Linked DNA regions of Oryctolagus cuniculus. The protein of the gene in region 1 interacts with the protein of each later gene in a biochemical or structural test. Links are inferred from orthologs where the notes say so. Each region holds a gene or a part of one and is shown on either strand. Other genes may lie near its edges.

Region 1 (5,447 bases):
GAGGAGTATACAACCAACACACAGGCTTCAAATCCAGACCTGCCTTCAAACACTGTGCTACAATTATTGCCTGCTGGTCCCCAACATGGTTTAAAAAATACCAAGCAATCTCTATCTGGGAAGCTCCTGCCACCAACTCAGCACAGGGAGTATCACAAAGCAAGGGTGGACCTGGAGTATGATGTTCCCAGAACTGTCCCAGCTCTTTGCAACCTGTTCTTGCTCCACTTCAGAATCCAGTCTCTCAAATCACTAAAATGTTCTTCCAGTGGCTGACAGGGCACTGAGGAAGGCAGCTGCCATTTCTTGGTTCAGCAGCTCTATCAGATCTGAAGTTTGTAGTTGAGGACGGCTGCTACCACAACACCTTCCTTCCTCCCAATCTCCTCACTCATCTACACGCATGCACACCAGACCCAAGAACCTCGGTGGGAGCCTCTCCAGGGCTGTCGCTTCCTGACCCCTTTCTCCACATGCCCCTGGTTCTAGTACCCATCTCTGGGGGGTCCTTGGAGGAAACAACCCACAGCCTGGGGTTACAGAAACATCATCTGTTCACACAGGAAGGCGAGAGAGAAAGGAGGGCAGAGCTGAGTGCCCATCCGGCCACAGCTCAGGCATGCAGTGAGTGCAGTAACACACTGAAAGATCTGGGGTTTTTTCAAAATCCCCTAACCCCCTCCTCCCACTAGAGACCTGCGCAAAAGCAGCCAAGCTCAGGCCTGGCAAGGCACAGAGGCAGGAAACCAAGGGGGGAGCCACTGTCGGCTCCCTGTGGCCACCGGACACAGGACACAAAGGGCTAGACCCCAAACAGGCTACCCGCTCTGAGACAGGAGTACCTGACGCCAAGGCACTTGGACTGGCCTGTCTGGGGCCAAGCTTCAGGTGGGTGCTTCCAAGTGCAAGGGCACAGCCCCTTTACCCAAGAGCCTGCCCCGGCTTTGGGCACCGGCATAGGCCTCCAAAAACTCAGCTTTGGGACAAAAGCAGCAGCAAGTAAAAGCGGCCTTTCTCAGGCTTCGCCAAGACAGAAAGGACCACCTTCTTCTCCCTCCCCAAGCAGATGAGCAGGCCTAGCCCTGTTTCAAAACCAGCCCTACCTCAACATCTGCCTAATTTTTACCCAGGGAACCCAAAGGTTCCCTTGCAATGAAGAGCCCAGCCTTGGGACCCAGGGAATCTCGCACCGCTCTTTCTGCAGAGGGGGAGGGCAGTGACCCTCGGGCCCCGATCGCGGGCAGGGTGGGCGCAGCTTGGCTCCCCTCGCCCGCCACCGCCGCTCCTTCCCGGGACTGGAGGGGCTCGACGCCTGCCCCGCTGGACTCCAGTCCGCCAGGATTTTTTAGGCCTCAGGGAAAGACGTCTGGAGGAGTCCCCCCAGCCGGGGGAGGGGGCGTCCTATCAGGTGACCGAGGATTTGGATGATCCCCGCCCCCCAGTGAGCACCGGAGCCGAGGCGGGGGCGGGTCCAGTGGGGGTGGGGAGAGCCCAAAGTTTGCCCAAGTCGCCAGGGAGGGCCGCGGCCGCGCGCGCCTCGCCAGCCCCGCGCGCGCAGCGGGCCCGGGGGCGGCACTTACTGGCCCCCTCGATCTTGTCGGCGCCGCGGCTCCACGTGATCTGGCGCGTCTCCAGTTTGACCTGGAAGGTCTTCCGCTCGGGCCGCTGCGACTTCTTGGAGTAGAACAAAGTCATGACGGTGCCCACCTCGAGGCTGCGGCAGAGGTGCAGCACCTCGGCTTCCGAGGGCGCGCCGGGAGCGCAGCCATTGGCGCAAGGGGACGCGGCGCCCGCCATGGCTCCGACGCTGGGGGCGGCGGCGGCGGCACAAGCCGGAGGAGCCGGGAGCAGGAGGAGGAGGAGGCGGCAGCTGAGGCGGCCGGCGACCGGGACCCGGCGGCGGCTCCTGCGGGCGGACACGGGGCGGAGCCTAAACACCGAAGGCGGGGCGGCCCGAGGATCCGCCCCGCCCGCGCGCCAGGAACAAAGGCGCCCGCGCGCCCGTGGGGAGGACCCCCGCCCCCGGCCCACCGCGCCTGCGCCCCGCGACCCCCGGCCAGGCCGCAAGCGGGGGCGCGGGGCGCCATGGTACGCCCCGCTCTCAAGCAATCCGTCCGTCGCTCGGCCCCGCAGAGCTTCCTCACGCGACCCCGGCAGGGCGCGGGGCCTCCACCGGCCCCGTCACGCACGGCAGCCCCGCCCACAGGCTGCAGGCCCGCGACCGACCGGCCCGTCAGTCAGGCGCTCGTGCACGCGAAGCCACCCGCCCACTGTCCCGCACAGGCCCGACCGCAGCCTCCGCGCCGCCCGCACAGCCACCTGGAGAAGATGTGAGGGTGCGACGCGCCCCTCGGGTCCGCCTGGCCAAACCCAATTACCTGGGCGAATTGCCCGGCGGAGGGAACCGGGCCAGGCCGGGCCGCCTCACACCCGCGGCGGCGGCGGCGGCGGCGGCGGCGGCGGAGGCGGGTTCTCCGCGCGCCCTCTTCGGGGAGGAGTGGGGGCGGGGCATCCCGAGGATTGGTCAGCGGGCTCTGATGGACAGCGTTCTGTCCCGCCCCCTCCCCCTGCCCGCGCAGAGCTGGCCCACAGGCCGCCCTTGCGAAGGCGAACCCCACGTCCGTCCTGCCCTTGCGTAGGTGCCCTTCCTCGGAGAAGCGCTTCGGGCGTGAGCATCCCCCGCAGGGCTCGTTAAACCCGCGCCCGCGCTGTCTGGAGACCTGACCTGTAGCCCCCAGCGGCCCTGTCTCTCTCCCTCTCTTGGCGTTGCCCGTTGCTCCTCGCCCTCGTTCCCCACGAGGCAGGACGCAGGTCGGATCCGTGAGGCGGGCTCAGGCCCTGCCTCACACCCCTCCTGCAGGTGCGCTCCTGAACTTTGGTTTTCCTGACCTCGCTCTGGACTCTGTCCTGGGCCAGTACCCATAGCGACCTGACTTCACGCAGTGCGCCGGTACCAGTGCCTCCACCTCCACGTCCCACTGTCCGCACCACGTTGCTACCTAATGCGGCTGCCTCACCCACACTCCCACACGGCTCCCCAGCCTTCGCTTTCTCAGAACATGGCACCAAACTCCTCTCGATTGCATAAGCCAAAAACCTGGCCAGTAACCTCGATTCCTCTGTCTGCCCCAGGTCAGATCCACCGAGGCCTGTTCACTTTGCCTGCAAGCCCACCAGGCCGTGGCCTCTCTCACCTGCGTCTGTTCTCCATGTTTAAATCTTTTAAAAGAAATAAAACCATGATCACCTACCTCTGGTCTACTATTCTCCCGCCCTGAGTGGCACACAGCAGGTTCTGATGGGCCTGGCCCCTTCCTATCTCCTGGCTTCTTCACTCTCTCTCCTCCCGTCAGCAGGCTTCTGTCTGGAATCATTCACCCTCTTCGTCTTCCTGAATGCTGTGAAAACTGAGGACATCTGCGGTCATGGGGAGGCATGCCTGACACGTGTTGCGCCAGGTGCTGCATTTCAGAGAGGCGCGGCCCAGCAGAGCTTTCCGGAGAAAGATCCAGGTGAGTTGGGATTTGTGAGGACAGGAGAGCATGTGTTCAGGCAACCGCACCCAGTACTAGGTGTGTGGAGCTGCCTCTGACTATCTCGCGGTGGTAGTAACTTGCGTGTGTGTGCATGCTCCTGCACTTTTGGTTCCTTCAAGTGTGGCCCCTAAGGCTCACAGCACTAGGCTCCTGTCAACTAAGGGCCAGCGGGGGAGCTGAGATGGACTGCCACCTAGTGACAAGCCTTTGAAGTGGGAGGCAGGCTGATCCTGATCACACGTGGTCCTCATAATCACCCTCTAATCAGGGACACTGGTCCCCAGTTTACTGATGAGGACGTTCAGAGAAGTTCTACATGACTTACCGAGCGGCCACGTCACTCACAACTGGGGACTTGAACCTATCCACCTCTGTTTTCTGCCTCACAAGAGGGCCTCTGGCTTAGGTAAGTCCTGGTGGTGAGCAGTCAGTGGGCATGAGGCTAGATGGCTACTGGCACAGGGAACCTGGCAGAACATTAGTGGTCAGAGCGTGGCTTGTACTCAAAGTGCCGCTGTCGCTGAGCTGCGAAGCGTGAGGAGAACAGGAGATCCAGCCCAGCCCCTCGGGGGATTAACAGACCTTAAACAAATAAGCACTCTGTTCTGTAAAGACACTTGTGATGAGGGCTCCAGAGGAAAAGAACAGATGAAAGAAAACACAGTGAGGTTGCCAGTGCGGCAGCTCACTAGGCTAATCCTCCGCCTGCGGCGCTGGCACACCGGGTTCTAGTCCCGGTCGGGGCGCCAGATTCTGTCCCGGTTGCTCCTCTTCCAGTCCAGCTCTCTGCTGTGTCCCGGGAAGGCAGTGGAGGGTGGCCCAGGTGCTTGGGCTCTGCACCCGCATGGGAGACCAGGAGGAAGCACCTGGCTCCTGAATCGGCGCAGCATGCCAGCCATAGCAGCCATTTGGGGGGGTGAACCAACAGAAGGAAGACCTTTCTCTCTGTCTCTCTCTCTCTTACTAACTCTGCCTGTTTAAAAAAAAAGAAGAAGAAGAAAAGAAAACACAGTGAGGAGGCCTCCCTGTGGCTCCGCAGAGGTCAGATGGGAAGGAGTAGGTGGCTGGGTGAGCTGTTAAAAGTTGATTGGAGGAAGGTACTTTCCAGGCAGGAGGCCAGAAAGAGGTGGTTAAGTTTAGTGAAGGCTGGAGTTTCTTCAGTGAAGGAGAGTGTGTGGGGGAGGGGTGAGCAGTGAGTAGAGCCCCTCCCTGCCTGTCTGGTCTTGTCCATTTTCCTATGAGGCACCTAAGTGCTGCAGTTCTTTCCAAGCTTCCTGTGCCAACTGCAGCGACCTACAGGCTGTGATGCGCCTTTGAAATAGGTTCCTCTCTTCTGGGAGCTTCCCAACATGTAGCCCCAGGCTTCCGTGCCTTCACTCTTGCCTCTGTGGCAGGACCCCAGGGGCTGCCAACAGGAGCCTGAGTTTTCAGTCTGCTGCCAGACTTTAGTCACTGAACAGGGTCCCATTTTCCTCTTGGGACTTCTGGGCCAGCATCCCAGGGCTCAGGTGCCTCTTGCCATCAGAGGAGGTTCAGGAAAAGCAGGGCACACAAAGGGTGTGGCTGGGGTGTGGGCTTCCCCCAGCTCAGCATCTCTCTGGGTGTGTGGGTGTTGCTGGCAGTGCCTGCAGCTGCACTGTCTGAGAGGAGCAGCCTTGCACCCACACAAGGCACACGCCTGTGACATCATCCAGGCTAGCCTTGCATGGGCCTATTTCTGCTAACACTCATGCTTCAGCATGCCCTGGCCTATATCACGCCTGGGCCTGGAGCCTGGGGAGAGTCCCAGCCCTCTTCTGGCCCTGTTGGCTTGGCCTTGCAGCTGTTTTTTTGTGGTGGTTGTTGTTGTTTTTTGTTTTTTAAGATTTTATTTGAGAGGTAGAATTACAGAGAGAGAGAGAGAGAGAGACA
Region 2 (4,905 bases), on another chromosome or scaffold:
TGTACACCGCTGGCATCACAGAGCGGTGACAGGTTGGAACAGACACGAAAGTCAGGAGCAGCACAGTGCTCCTCAGTGGACCCAGGTGTGTCCATGCGGGGAGCCCGAAGAACCCTGAAGCCAGTGCACTGCGGCTGGGATGGGAGGGACGATGCCGGAGCAGGGGGCCTGGGGCGCAGTCGCAGCCGGAAGTCCCGGATAGCCCAGGCTGCTGGGGGTGGAGGCGGCTCAGACGCCCAGCGTCATTCTCTATAAATCCCCACCTGAGCCCCAGGCTGCGCCCCGCATGCGGTCAACTCAAGCAGGGTTCCAGGAGGGCGCGAGGGCGGGGGAGCCCCTGCAGAAGGGGGCTCCTGGCTGGGGGTGGGGAGCACTCACCTTCTGCCAGATCATGATGAGGATGATGAGGGAGATGATCGTGAGCACCACCAAGGCCAGGATGGCCGAGATCACCACCACTTTGAAGGGCAGCGCTGGGGGCAGGGAGCAGAGCAGGCCCTGGGTAAGCAGGGCCCGGGCAGCTGCCTCCTTCACTCCACCGACCGCTGGCCTCACAGGTCACCTGTCCTCACTTCCCACCCCTCTGTGACCCTGCCCAGCGGCCCACCAGGTCAGCCTCTCCGTCCTGGCTCTGGTCACGTCTTTAGCTTCCCCGGCAGACACCCCATACCTCCCAGCAATGACCCCAGCTCTCTGCCGGCCTCACCACCTTCTGCCCGTGCCAGGGCCAAACCCCTTGCCTTCATCCTGTCCACTGCCTGGGCCTGCCATGCGGCCTGGGCCACTCTCACTTCTCTGAAACCATGCCTGAGTGGACCTGAGCTGAGTTCCATGCCTGACTCAGTGGCCAATGGCCTGCGGGGGCAGCCCTGAGGGGCAGGAAGCTGCGCCTCCTGCCCAGTTCCACCCAGGAGCATGGGGTGGGGGTGGGCTGGGAAGGGAGGTCGGGCAATGACAAGTGCTGTGAAGTGCGTCCTCAGGGTTACCTCACTAAGCACACAGGCCCCACACTGGGACCCCCAAGCCAGAGTCTCCTTCACAGCTTTGCTGCACACGTCCTCACCCCACCCCCATCCACCTGGGACAGACTCTCCCCTGCCCTGCCCACTGGGCACCCTGGAAACTCTCCCTCCCACCTGCCCTTCTCTACCCCCCAGAGAGCCCTGTCTTGCCTCCCCAGGGTCTCCTCCCCACACTTCCTGCTCAGGGTCCCTGGCCCATGTCACTTGTACCAGCCACACCTCCATCCTAGGAAGCAAGCCCCCATCTCTCTGGGAGCCCACTCTGAGTAAGGAAGGGGAGCCTTCCTCCAGCCACCCCAGCTGTCCCTGGTTGGTGCATGGCATCCCCTCCGGGCACCACACTACAGCTTCACCTCTGCTTTTGCTCAGAGCTGGTCTATGGGCCGCTGTCTACACTGTCCGACCACACAGCAGCTGGCCCAGGGATATGTGTGCCCACAGGGAGCATGAGGGTGATGCTGGAAGTAGGAAACCCACCCACGCACCACAGGGCAGGGGCCAGGAGGCAGGTCTGTGCACACACAGGCACGTGCATGGACAAGTCCAGGGGCCTGCCCACCCAGGGACTAGGCATGCTCACATCACGCTCACATACACGCCCTCAGCGGCTACCCAGACCACCAGGCATCCAAGTCCAGGCTCCCAGATGCACCTGCCAGCTTCACCCGCGTCTCTGGGGATCAGGCACCTCTCAGAACCCAGTTCACAGATCCCTATGTGCCAGGCATGTGGCACAGGTGCACAGACGGGTTACACGTGCCACACACATATAGTTTCGTTCACATCCAGTTTATAGACCTGTGTTTGCACACATGTGTGTGCCCTGACCAGTTTCACAGTGCTCTGGGCTGCTACGGACGCCTGGGCACAGTCACCAGGAATGCAGGGGCGTGGCGGGGGGAGGGACGCCGGCGGACTCACAATGCGGCACCACGGTGACCTCCTTGGTGTCGTAGTCACGCAGGTTGCGCAGCACACAGCGCACCGACAGCGGCTGATCCACGTGGCGCAGGCGCAGTGTGCTCACCACCTCAAACTCCTGCTCCTCCGCCCAGTACGTCACGTTGGTCTCTAGCTGGCTCTCGTCCTCGGAGCGGTTCCCCAGCGGCGTGGGCGGCAGCTCGGACGGGCACCTGCAGGCAGAGCCGTCAAGTGGTGGGGGAAGCAAGGAGGGCTTGTCCAGTCCCCTGATGCCTCCCTCTGCCCGGGCTTCGGCGCCGTGCTCCCTCGAATGACCAGCAGGGGGCGATCCCATTCCACAACGGAAAACCCCAGGTTGTGAGATCCACTCCACTCATTTGCCTCCAGGGTCTCACAGCTGGGGGCCGTGTCAGGGGTAGAGGCAGAACCTGAATTGAACCCTGCCTCTCTCTATCACGCGAGAACCACCCTGATCAAGTGAGGTCCCCGGGGCACTCAGGGATCAAGGTCAGGAGAAGCCACAATTCGGGTCATGCAGTGTCTGAGGAGGTGGCAGGCTGGCCTTCCAGGATGTGGCTGTAGCCTGGAGCAGCGTTTGCAGAGGAGAGGGCTGGACTAGACACGGGCTGTGGGTGCCCAGGAGACCGAGCCCGGCCGGGGTGGGCTCACCTTTTCAGGTCTCTGCAGGTAAACCAGGTGACATTCGGCTGAGGCATGCCCCGGCCACGACAGCGAACTATCTGCTCCCCACTGGCGAGGTGGCTCTCGCTCAGCTCCAGCACACGGACAGGGACTGTGGGGAGAGGGGACAGGGCCAGGAAGTGTGGGGTCAGCAGGAAGGGACTGGCCAGGGAGGACCTGCTCAGGTCCCCTGGGGGTTGGGGGGGACAGGGAGGCAAACATTAAAAGCAGGTGAACACGGACTACCAGGAAGGACCCCCCTCCAGGGAGCTTCAAAGGGCAAGCCTCAGGAGGGGCTGCTGGCTGCTGTGTCTTTAACGCCTCTCTGAGACTTGCTAATCTTCCCTTTTAACAAGAAGGGAGCTGGGGTGGCCACACTCACAAAGCTGGCGAGTAATCGCATTGTTTTGTTTCCTCTGAGTTTATTTTAGTGGCTGCCTTAGACTCAGGACATGTGACGCTGATTTTCCATCTACAATTGGGAGGTTATATTTTGTCTTTCAAAATAAGCTTATTTTGGGCGAGCCGATTGACGAAATACGGAGTCAGGATCGTGTCATCCGTCAGCTCGGAACCCTGGGAAGGCTCTTCATCTGGGCTGTGGTGAAGCTGGACCGGGCCCTCAGGGACCCGCCCTCTGCCCACCCCCCACTGCCTCCCTGCTCTCTGACCTCCCCTCCCTCTGTTCTGGCCACTCAGGCCTTTCTGCCATGGCTCTGGCCTCTGCCCTGCCTTGCACCCAACATCCGCTTGGCCAATTCCCTCACAGTCTTCAAGTCGTAGAGCAGACGGCACCTCCCCCGTGAGGCCCACCCTGCTCACCACCCTCCTGAGCCTGACTCTGCTTTTTTCCCCTTGTTACCTTCTAACCTACAGAACTAGCCCGCAGCTCCCCCTACTGTACAACGAGTGTGATGCAAGGAGGGAAACTTGTGACCTTGGTGCATGAATGCCTGAGGTTTTAGAAATACCCATCTAGCCAAGGCCACCTTGGACAGGTGGGGAAACCGAGGCCCAGGGAGAGGACACCCCTGGATCAGAGGGCCACAGGCAGGGTCCCAGGACGCAGTCTCCTGGGTTCCAGCTTCCTGCGTGGATGCGGGAAGACGCAGCAGGGAAGGGGGCAGGGGTGGCCCTCACCGTTGACCTGCAGCTGGAAGGAGAGCTGTGCCTCGGCGTCCTCGTGGAAAGCCCGCATGGTGTACCTGCCCGCCTCCGCCACCTTCACCCGCACCAGCGTCAGTTCTGACACGTACCTGGGGAGCAGCGCAGGCCGGGAGAGCCAGCTGTCAGAGCAGGAAGGGCTCCTCCAGCCCCCGCCCCCTGCTCCCCTGTACAAGCAGGAGAAACAAGGCCCTGGGAGTCGCACAGGTGTCCCAGGCGAGGCCCGGGAGGGACTGGGAGTGGGCAGGGAGGCCCTATTCCACCCCCTTCCTGAGGGTCTGGCATGCTTTATCCCCACTGGTATCCGCCAGTATCTAGCTCGGGCTTCCTAGGTAGCAGGGCCAAGCTTCCTAGGTAGCGGCTCGGGCCCGTTCCTGTGGCTACCACCTGCAGCTCTGCTCATCACAAGTGTCTGAGTGACCATCTGGCTGGCACCATGTCCCCCCGCTGGACCAGATGCTCAAGGAAGGATGGACCCTGCTCTGGTTGCGCCGCAGCCTCAGCGCCCCCCAGGGTGCCGGAGGTGGGCCTGGGTGCGCCAAGTGGCTGCTCACCGGGTCTCAGACACATTGCGTGTGGACAGGGCGATCTCGCCGGCGCTGGAGTCACCCAGGGTGCGGTTGTCCTTGAACCACAGGACGGTGGGCGGAGGGTAGGCCTCGAACACCACCTGCAGCGTACGGCTCCGGTGCAGGTCGGCGAACTGCAGCGCGCCCAGCTCTCCCAGCAGCCGCACGTAGCCGCTCTCTGCAAGGGGCGGGCCGTCAGGGCGGGGCCATGCCCGGCCACCAATGGGGCAGTGCCTACCGGGGGCGGGGTATCAAGTGGGCGCCCAAGGAGCCCCGCCTTCTGGGGGCGGGGTATCAAGTGGGTGCCCAAGGAGCCCCGCCTTCTGGGGGCGGAGCTTCAGACTTTAGAGCCAAAGGAGCCAGGTGCAAGTTGGGGTTGGGCCAACAGCAAGTGCTGAATTTACGGCTGTTGGTGTGGGGCCCAGCTTTGAGGCTGGGCTTGGAGTTGGAGTTCTGTGTCTGGGCTTAGCTGAATTTAGGAAGGGGGCTGGCTGGGCCTAGGATGGTGGGCAGGATTAAAAATCAGATTGGAGCTGGGGTTCTGGTCA
Region 3 (4,905 bases), on another chromosome or scaffold:
TATGCTGGTAAAGCACCGGCCCCGGGCCAAACTCTTAACAGGAGCCAGGCACAGAGGCACAGGGTTGAGAATATTCCTGGTATAATTTGGGAGAGTTTGCAGAAGACAGCTTGGTTAGACCATGGCTGGCCTTGAGCACCACGGGGAAGACTTCTAAGGCTCACGCTCATCTGCCAGTTTAATGGACGTGCTCGTTTGAGTGGACCTGGGCTGAGCACCACGTACTCTGTTCCTCCTCCCAGCTACTCTGCAGTTCTGATGGGGGAGCTGAGAGAGGCAGTCCCACAGGCACCAACACGGCCCCATGGCCTCTGCCTGCATTTTCCTCCAGACCCTCAGTGGAGCCCTTTGCCTGTTCCCCACAGGTCCGCTATGCCACCTGGAGCATCATCATGGACTCCGTGGTTCCCTCCGATAAGGGCAACTACACTTGCATTGTGGAGAACGAGTACGGCAGCATCAACCACACCTACCAACTGGACGTCGTGGGTAAGAGGTGGTGGCGCAGACCTAAGGTGCTTAGGGTATGGAGCGGGCATCAGGGACTCCCGGGATGGCGTCAGGATTGCACTTGCCTTGTCACCTTGAGCGGGTCAGCTCCTCCGTTTGCACTTTACTTTTCCCTATCTGCAAACCAAAGAGCATTAGGTGAGAATGTGTCCCAAAGCCAATGTCGCCATGAACTGGAAAGCACTGTTGACAGTCTACCCTGAAAGACGTGACTGGTTGTTGGGCTGTTACAGGGAGTGCAGTGGTAGCTGTGGCTTGATGAAGGCTCTTGCAAATCTGCTGTCATCCCCACCAGGCAGGCACGCGCCCACTGTACCTGCTGAGGCTCAGAGGTCAGGTGCCTGTGGAATTCCAGGCCCCTGCCGGCTGCTGGATGAGCACCATGCTTCTCAGGGCTGCTCCTGCAGCCGGTCCTAGAGCAGGGGTGGGAACGTCCAGCCCGCAGGCTGTACGAGGCCCACAAAATCACCTTGTCTGGCCCTGCCAGGGCAATCCCAGACGGGACTTTGAAATTCAGTACATGTATAGCAGGCTGATTGTTAAGTTGGATCATTTTATATGGTCCACGAACGACGTTATAAATATCCAAGTGGCCCTTGGCAGAAACAGAGGCTTCCCATCCCCGTTCTGGAGGTAGAGTCCAGCACGCTGGAGATGGAGAGGCCCAGGGACTCTCCGCCAGCCTCCCATCTTGGTGCTGGCCACGTGGTCTCAGCAGGGGGATGGGGTCCAGGCTCTGAGATCCTGCCTTTCTGACTCTCTCTCTCCCAGTTGGCACTGGTGCTGCTGTCCCTGGGCCACACTTTGAACAGCAGTGGTCTCGGCAGCTCTCTGGGAAGCACGTTGTGCTGGGATCTCAGGGTGTTAAGTCCTTTAAGCTACAGGAGACTTATTACTGTGCATAAGTATGGAGCGTGGCCTCGAGGAGGAGTTCCCATGGAGCCTCGAGAGAGGACTCAGGGTGGAGGCACTGGGACCCCGCGGAGATGCAGGACATGCACTGCCCCATCCCCGGGAAAGCCGAGGGGGCACTGCAGGCCCACACGTGTCCTTTCTTCCACAGAGCGGTCGCCTCACCGGCCCATCCTGCAGGCAGGGCTGCCTGCCAACAAGACGGTGGCCCTGGGCAGCAATGTGGAGTTCATGTGTAAGGTGTACAGTGACCCTCAGCCTCACATCCAGTGGCTAAAGCACATCGAGGTCAACGGGAGTAAGATCGGCCCAGACAATCTGCCCTACGTCCAGATCTTGAAGGTAATCACCCTGTCTGCTCGGGATGGGGTGCCAGGACAGAGCCCGCCAGCTCCTGGCGGCTCAGGTTCTGTGGTCAGGCTCAGGGCCTGGGATCGGGACCCAGCCCCTTTCCCAGGAGTGGGGAGAGATGACAGAGTAGAGGTGAGCTGGGAATAGGGGGGCGGTGCTGGTTGTGAAAGCTTTGCCAGTGACTTTGCTTGGAGGGGGATGAAGGCTTTGAAAGGGCGAGACCCCACCCCCACCCCAAAGAAAGAAAGGGGAGCCCTCCAGGTGAGCGTGAGGTCCCCTGCTTTCTCACTGCCCGGGACCAAAGCCTTGGCAGCCAGCCCCTCATGGGCGCTGCCCTACTCCCCGAGCTCTGCTCTTGCTTGGAAGATGCGATGGAGGATGAGGGCACACAGCCTAAGCAGGCTTGGGAAAGCAGGTGCCGCATATAAATTCTACGCAGTGTGAGGAGTAATGGCATTTTCTTCCTTTTCCCTTTCACTCCCAGACTTTGATTGTCCCTGAATGCTCCATTAATCCAGGGAAGGTAATTGCCTAAATCTCCCGTGGATCTTGCGACAGGAAGTGGCCAGAAGCTGGGAAAGCTGTTTACCACCTTGTCCCACAGTTAGACCTCATCCTCCCCAGGCTGCCCGTCCCGAAGATTTACTAGCTGTCCCTTCTCTTGGCTACTGGTGCAGAAATTGTTCTGAAGGAAATGGGGCAGGGGCCTTGGGCTTGGCCCCGTGTCCATTTACAGTCCCTGCCCCAGTCCTGGAGGATGGATTTCACACAGACAGGACATGAGATTTGGGACAGTGGGTGTTTTTGTTTTGTTTTCTTTTCCTTTATGAAATGCTTGGGGCTTTTGATGTCAGCTTGTTCTGTTCCACTAAAACAAGGAGAGATGCAAAGTCCCTTGGACCGCGTCCCTTGCCTGGAAGGTACATGGGAGCAGAGGACGGCCAGGTGGCCACGCTTGCGCGACTGACTGGTGTGTCGTTGGTTTGTTCCAGCATTCGGGGATTAATAGCTCGGATGCAGAGGTGCTGACCTTGTTCAATGTGACAGAGGCCCAGAGCGGGCAGTATGTGTGTAAGGTTTCCAATTATATTGGTGAAGCTAACCAGTCTGCGTGGCTCACTGTCACCAGACCTGTGGCAAAAGGTAATGGGGAGACGGATGGGACCCTGTGCTGGGAATTTCATGTCGGCCCCACGCCCTGGAGCAGTGGGAAGCCAGCGCCGGACTCTCCCTCTTATCTTCTGTATCCTAGTGCCCAGAGCCATGGAAAAATACTCGGCCTGGGAGGCTGGTTTGGTTTAGTTCTGTGTTGGTATCTGCTGGTTCCCTCTGTGCCTTATGTGTGTCCCCTGGCTGGGTGTGTGGCTGTGCGTGGACTCCTGGGGACACAGCCACGCTGTGCTATGAATGATGCTGCAGATCAGAAAAGGGGCCAGGTGTTCCCTTGCAGAGGCCCAGGTCTGCAGGCTGCGTATGTGTGTGTGTGTGTGTGCGTGCACCCTTCCATCCCTCCTGTGTGCCCCCCTCTCCACTTATCTCGACCTGAAACCAAACAGCCACCTACTGGCCGGGCCCCATTTCTCCATGCCGCCCGCTGCCCGCATGCTGGGATGGGCCAGTGGCTGCCGGCGCCTGGTGACGGGTCGTAACCAGCCGTGACCTGCTGGACTTCCTCCCCAGGGCCGCACTCTCTTCCTCTCTAACAGGTCCCGCTGCTGGTGGTTTCTATGTGTTCCTTGTTGCAAAGGAGACGCTGGGGAGCATCTCCCGCTCTGGTGGCCTCCCCTCTGCGCACTCCCCCACCCTTCCCTGTCTCGGTGCCTCCTCGAGGTCTCGCGTCCCGCGCTTGTCCATTCCGCTTCCGTTGTCTCTTCCTAGACTGCCGGAGTTAACACCACTGACAAAGAGATGGAGGTGCTTCACTTGCGGAACGTCTCCTTCGAGGACGCGGGCGAGTATACGTGCTTGGCGGGTAACTCTATCGGACTCTCCCATCACTCTGCATGGCTGACCGTTCTGGAAGGTATACACTGCACTGCTCCTCTCGCTGTCCTGCCCTCGCCATGGGCACGGGGGAGCATGCATTGTGGGGCCGGCGGGGGAGACACAGAGCCCCGGGAGAGAGAGAGCAGTGGGCTCTTGCCTGCCGCACGCCCTGTTGGCTGTGGCATTGAAGGCTCGCTATGGAGCTTTCCTGGTCTTGCGGGAACAACAGCAGCCTCCCACTGGTGCACCTGCGTCTGGCTCTGTCCCCTCCGTGGCCAATGCAATGCATGCTGGGGATCTGGATTCATTTCGGCAGCCGGGCTCTCCTGCAGGGCAGGCTTCTCCTGTCCTTGGGTCCTGCAGCCTCCCCTAGGTCCCTGGGTGTCTGAGATACCTGATTTATTTATTTATTTTATTTTTTTATTTTTTTGCACCAATCCCAAAAGTTTGAGAAAGAGCCCTGCTCTTCACACTGCATGTAGGCCCTCAGCCCAGAGGTGCTCAATGCTTGTAGGGAGCGGCACTTGTCCAGCCTGCATGCCAGGTCCTCTGGCTGGGGAGAAGCCACCTTTCTAGACAAGTGAACACGACCTGCTCTAAGTCAGGCCTGCCTCAGGCAGCCTCAGTGGGGCCATGGCAGTCCCCCTGCATCCTCTCTGGCTGCTGTCCCCGGCGGGAGGTCTGTGTCGAGCCAGGAAGGAAGAAGCCTGCAGCTGTGCAGGGTGGTGGTGACCGGAGCTGGGTGTGCTGCATCTCCGCGTGTCCCGCATGTGGGTCTGGGTGCCATCTGCTCTCCTGTCTGACTCCGCCCCCTTCTGTCCTCACCCCCCTCCACTTGAGGCACAGAAGTGTTCTCTGTTTTCATCGTCGTCCTGTCTTCGTCCCGTCTGTCTGTGCACCCCATCATTTGTCTTTTGTTTCTCGACGTTGGGGAAAGGAGTAAAACAGAAACACTTCTGTCATCAGCTCTGTCGTCTGCCGGTCAGGCCTTGAGGTCCTCAAGGGCCTGGGCCTGGGCCTCGTCCTGTGCCTCTCTCTGGGTTGGGGTGGGGATAACTCCCGCCACCTCTGTGGCTGGCTGCAGGGTTTCTGAGGGGCGGATCAGGAGGGGAGACAGCGGTGACGGGAAGAGGGGCCCCTCGCGAG
Region 4 (4,905 bases), on another chromosome or scaffold:
AATCTGAGTTTCCCCCCTTCTATTAGAAGGCATTTGAGTTTGCATTCTTTGGCCCAAGTTATATATTGCTTGAGGAAAAGGTGGTATAAGTTTCATTTTGTGCCTACTAGGTTAGTGACTCTCAGATTTCACTGTGCTTTGAAATCCTCCAGAATGCTTAGGAAACACATTGGTCCTTGCACCCTCCCTCCCCCAACACTTATCAAAACACATCACCTGATGGTGGGGTCCTAGAGTGTGTATTCTAAATAAATGCCTTAGGTGACTTTAGCATAGGTGCTCGGGGGCAATACTTTGAGACACACTGCCTTTGGCTCTTCATCCAGAAGTATCTGGCCCATAGCAGGTACTCATTTATGTTTGCTGTTGAGTCTACTTCTTTGAGAACAAGCATCAAGAAAGGGTATTTCATCTTCATCCTTCTTCTAAAAATAAGGTTCTTCTAATAACCGTAGAATCCTAATGAGTCCCTGTTGGATGAAATCTCAGAAATTACCTGGCCAACCAATTCATTTTGTTGATAAGAAAACTGAGGCCCAGATTGCTTTTATTTGTTTATTGAGCACTCACTGAGAGTCTGTGCTAGCTCGTGTTTCTGCATGAGCCCTCTTTGAATCCACCCACATCTTTCATTCCCCCTCCACCAAGGCCTTGCAGAGTGCTACGTACATAGTGGATGCTCATGATGCACACATGAATGAGTCGATCATCGAGTCCTGTGAAATTTACTCTGTAGGAAACTTGACAATGCAAGATTATAATCAAGCGTAGAAGAAGTTGGAGCCTTGAAACAATCCTCCTTTCTTTCCTATTTTGATCACTGCCCTTCTCATCTTCCTTTCATGTAATCTGCCTACACATGGTTTTCATTATTTTAAGTGCATATCCTGTTTGGGAAGGGGTAATAATTTTATCTGTAACAGCTCTAAGTCTAGGACTTACACTCTTACCATCTTTGAGTTATACAGGTACTCAAAACAGGCATGACTTCTAGGTAGGGCTAGATAATCCCCTGGTAGCCCTATACCTCATCAGTTGCCTTCTCTGAAAAAACTCTCTTTCTGTGTTCCAGGAAAGTGGGTGATCGACCCCTCAGAGCTCACTTTTGTGCAGGAGATTGGCAGCGGGCAGTTTGGATTGGTGCATCTTGGTTACTGGCTCAACAAGGACAAGGTAGCCATTAAAACCATTCAGGAGGGAGCTATGTCAGAAGAGGACTTCATAGAGGAGGCTGAAGTCATGATGTGAGTCCCCAAAACAAGGACATGCAGACACCCTGGGAAGGATGCTCTGTGCTGGATTGTTTAAATACCATTCTGATGCCATGCTGTGCCACTTTCCTGCCCAAATCCCAGCAGTGGCTCCCTATGGCATAGAAAGTAAAATGAAACTCCCCACCGTGGTCCACAAAACCCTTGCTCACCTCCCAGTCTCATCACCTATCCAGCTTTCCTCCGGTCCGTGACGTGCCAGCCGCACTGGCCTCCATCAGTCCTCACATCCACCAGCAGACCCTTTGCCCCCCTCAGGTCTCAGCTCTAGTGACATGGTTTTGTTCAGGGGAGGGTATGGATTTAGTTTTCAAAACCATGAGTTGGATGAAGGGATCATCAACTATTTTGGTGCCATAAAATGTTCAGCACTTTTGGGATACTGAATTGGGGCCATTTCACCTCTTTCTTTTTTTCTTCCAGGAAACTCTCTCACCCCAAACTTGTCCAGCTCTACGGAGTGTGCCTGGAGCAGGCACCCATCTGTCTGGTGTTCGAGTTCATGGAGCACGGCTGCCTATCAGATTACCTGCGCACTCAGCGGGGGCTCTTTGCCACGGAGACCCTGCTGGGCATGTGCCTGGACGTGTGCGAGGGCATGGCCTACCTGGAAGAGGCGTGCGTCATCCACAGAGACCTGGTATGGGTGTGCTGTGGGGGAGCAGCTGCAGGTGCAGGATGAAGGGCACGGGCCGCTGCAACAGAGAGAAAGTCAGACCAGGGATGTATTAATGAGCAGACTGATCAAGGGCCATCTCCCTTCCTCTTTCAACTTCTCTCTACCTCTACCTACTTTGGGAGGGCCCAGTGGAAAAGAACTAAAACTGGCCTCCAATCCTGGCCCCACTGCTAGCTTGCCCTATTTGTGTTTCATTCTTCCAAACTGGAACACACAGACCCTCTGTCTTAGCTTCTGTGTGCTTCAGTTTCCTCCTGGTAAGATGTGGGCCACGGACAACACAGCTTTTCTTACAGTGTTATCCAACAGTCTGCCAGAATCTCATCCTGAAACCATCTGGAGACTCTCTGGGGGTTTTAACCTGCATCCCCTTGTGATTTGTAGGCACTTTAAAATTTGCAGCTCTAAGAGTTCTTCCAGTACAATATTACATTGCACCATGAACAAACTCTTGGTTAGACAACACCATGGATCTGTCTTCTAATTAGGAACTAGCTGTGGAGATAAATTTACCTATGCTGACAAAAGATCTTACATTGGACTTTCTCACTAACTTGCAGGAGGCATGTGGGAAACCCATTAACATTTGTGAAGCTCCCCAAAGCCCTTGTATAATAGCATTAGGAAAAACACAGCACGGTGATTGCAGAAGACTTCTTAACTGCTAATTACACACCAATGGTTTTCCTCCCCTTTTGTCTGCCTGTCCCTCTCTAGGCTGCCCGAAACTGTTTGGTGGGAGAAAACCAGGTCATCAAGGTGTCGGACTTCGGGATGACGAGGTAACGTGGGAGTGATGCCTGTTGAGTGGCAGGAGTGGGAGGCCGGTAGCAAGCACTGAGACCTCCCCCTCCCTCCCTTCCCAGGTTCGTCCTTGATGATCAGTACACGAGTTCCACAGGCACCAAGTTCCCAGTGAAGTGGGCCTCTCCAGAAGTCTTCTCCTTCAGTCGCTACAGCAGCAAGTCAGACGTGTGGTCCTTTGGTGAGTGTCACCCTGGCGCCACCCTGATGTGGCCTGGGACTCTTGGCCAAATGCTTTCTTCCTTCTTTCCTTCCCTCCCTCCCTCCCTCCCTCCCTCCCTCCCTCCCTCCTTTCCTTCCTTCCTTCCTTCCTTCCTTCCTTCCTTCCTTCCTTCCTTCCTTCCTTCTTTTTCAAGATTTATTTGTTTATTTGAAAGGCAGAGTCACAAAGAGAGAAGGAGAGATTGACAGAGAGAAAGATATCTTACAAATACTGGTTCACTCCCCCAAATGGCTGCAATGGTCAGGGCTAGGCCAGGCCAAAGCCAGGAGCCAGAAACTCCATCCAGGTCTCCTGTGTGGTTGGCAGGGGTCCAAGCACTTGGGCCATCTTCCACTGCTATCCTAGGTGCATTAGCAGGGAACTGGATTGGAAATGGAGCAGCAGGGACTTGAACCAGTGCTCAAATGGGATGCCTGCATTGCAGATGGCAGCTTTACCTGCTACGCCACAATGCCAGGCCCCCAGATATTTTCTTTGTCAATGGCAGACAACTCTATTTGTCTAAACCCTATGTTCTGAAGATATTCCACTCAGAGTCTGTGTAAGAACAACCCAGAAAAGTCTGAAGGAGCCCTTGTTACTGGATTTGAAATGGGGGCGGGGGGTGGAGACAAAGATGAAAATGGGAATAGGAGTCTTGTGGCAGCTACTGTGAGATCAGAATCCGGGGAGTCATGAGTTTGAATATGAGCACCTGAAGGGCAGGGACCATGCATTGGCGAGTTTTGTATTCCACATTTAGCCCTCAATAGGCATTTTACTCGCTTAATAGCAGTTCATTGAGCAACTACTTTGTGCCAGAGGCCAGTCTAAGCACTGAGGATGCAGTGGTGCCTAGGACAGAAAAGACTCCAATGCTTCTGAAACTAAATGTTAGGCGAGGAGAGGGGTGGGCAGCCAGTGTTGTGGTACAGGCAGGTTAAACTATTGCTCAAGAAACCTGTATTCCTTATCAGAGTCCTACCATGTACCCTGGGAGGCGGCAGATTATGGTTCAGGTATTCAGATCCCTGCTACGCATGTAGGAAACACAAATGGAGTTCCTGGCACCTGGCTTCTGTCAGGCCCAGTCCCACCTGTTGTGGGAATAGCCAGCAGAAGGAAGATTCATTCTTTCTCCCTCTCCCTCTCCCTCCTCTTCTTCCTCCCCTCCCCTCCCACTCCCCTCTTCCTTCCCCTACCCCCTCCCCCCATTTCCCTCTCTCCCTCTCAGTCAAATAATTAAATAAGCTTTAAAAGTTTTAGAGGAAAGCTGATTTCAGAATAAGCTAATCACTCTAAGCTAGCAGATATAAGGGAAAGTCAGGTAGGGAAATATTGGTCCTATGACTATAATAAAACGGCAGCAGAATGAGAGGGACCGGGATGGAGGAAGGGCCTGCTTTAGTGAGTGTGATCTGAGAAGCCTTTCCGAGGAGGGGCCTCTGGAGCAGAGACTTGAATCATGAGAGGAAGCGGTCAGTGCTCCAAGAGGCAAGGAAAGCAAGGACGAGAGCTCAGTCACGTCCATAGCACACAGAGCACTGCCCTAGGTTGAAGTGGGGAAACAGAGTGGGAAGGCCGTGGGAAGGAATTACAGTTTCTAAAAAGTGCAGACAGCATGCGTGAGTGAATGGTGCCGGTGTGGCAGGAAATGCTGAGTGCTGATGCTGGATTCTTCACGTCGTGCTGCGTTGTAGTGTGTGCACACTGCCTGGTTGAACAACCGGACAGTCTCTGATTTGGATGTCAAGAGGGGTAATACACTAGACGGGAACTTCCTAAGCATGGGTTTTGCCATTCTGTGTGAAGGAAGGCTTTGGGGAGGATTCACTAGTGGTAGAAGCCAGAGGGGAGCTGGCTAATTAAGTATTTTGGGAATATTAAAAATCTTCTTCAGGATTGAAAATCTTCTTCCGGATTTAGAATGTCCATTTCTAGGAGCCAAG

Evidence for each region. The genes of interacting proteins can lie anywhere in the genome.
Region 2: the proteins of PLCG1 (region 1) and PDGFRB form a complex in vitro, tested with the Homo sapiens proteins (3 studies listed by BioGRID and IntAct, with this or other methods). The link is inferred for Oryctolagus cuniculus from reciprocal best matches to the Homo sapiens genes PLCG1 and PDGFRB.
Region 3: the proteins of PLCG1 (region 1) and FGFR1 form a complex in vitro, tested with the Homo sapiens proteins (4 studies listed by BioGRID and IntAct, with this or other methods). The link is inferred for Oryctolagus cuniculus from reciprocal best matches to the Homo sapiens genes PLCG1 and FGFR1.
Region 4: the proteins of PLCG1 (region 1) and ITK form a complex in vitro, tested with the Homo sapiens proteins (2 studies listed by BioGRID, with this or other methods). The link is inferred for Oryctolagus cuniculus from reciprocal best matches to the Homo sapiens genes PLCG1 and ITK.

The regions. Positions count from the first base shown.
Region 1 is NC_091442.1:17,799,023-17,804,469, forward strand, and holds the start of PLCG1 (1-phosphatidylinositol 4,5-bisphosphate phosphodiesterase gamma-1), read right to left. Parts: upstream 3,268-5,447; 5' UTR 3,252-3,267; intron 2,505-3,251; exon of another isoform or gene 2,379-2,504; intron 2,335-2,378; exon of another isoform or gene 2,320-2,334; intron 1,907-2,319; 5' UTR 1,798-1,906; coding exon 1,581-1,797; intron 1-1,580. UniProt on the Homo sapiens protein: Mediates the production of the second messenger molecules diacylglycerol (DAG) and inositol 1,4,5-trisphosphate (IP3). Plays an important role in the regulation of intracellular signaling cascades.
Region 2 is NC_091437.1:37,438,255-37,443,159, forward strand, and holds part of PDGFRB (platelet-derived growth factor receptor beta), read right to left. Parts: intron 4,536-4,905; coding exon 4,343-4,535; intron 3,881-4,342; coding exon 3,765-3,880; intron 2,737-3,764; coding exon 2,613-2,736; intron 2,156-2,612; coding exon 1,944-2,155; intron 474-1,943; coding exon 379-473; intron 1-378. UniProt on the Homo sapiens protein: Tyrosine-protein kinase that acts as a cell-surface receptor for homodimeric PDGFB and PDGFD and for heterodimers formed by PDGFA and PDGFB, and plays an essential role in the regulation of embryonic development, cell proliferation, survival, differentiation, chemotaxis and migration.
Region 3 is NC_091433.1:88,160,020-88,164,924, reverse strand, and holds part of FGFR1 (fibroblast growth factor receptor 1), read left to right. Parts: intron 1-365; coding exon 366-489; intron 490-1,573; coding exon 1,574-1,764; intron 1,765-2,765; coding exon 2,766-2,916; intron 2,917-3,651; coding exon of another isoform or gene 3,652-3,796; intron 3,797-4,905. UniProt on the Homo sapiens protein: Tyrosine-protein kinase that acts as a cell-surface receptor for fibroblast growth factors and plays an essential role in the regulation of embryonic development, cell proliferation, differentiation and migration.
Region 4 is NC_091437.1:44,206,710-44,211,614, forward strand, and holds part of ITK (tyrosine-protein kinase ITK/TSK), read left to right. Parts: intron 1-1,072; coding exon 1,073-1,244; intron 1,245-1,694; coding exon 1,695-1,911; intron 1,912-2,667; coding exon 2,668-2,732; intron 2,733-2,816; coding exon 2,817-2,935; intron 2,936-4,905. UniProt on the Homo sapiens protein: Tyrosine kinase that plays an essential role in regulation of the adaptive immune response. Regulates the development, function and differentiation of conventional T-cells and nonconventional NKT-cells.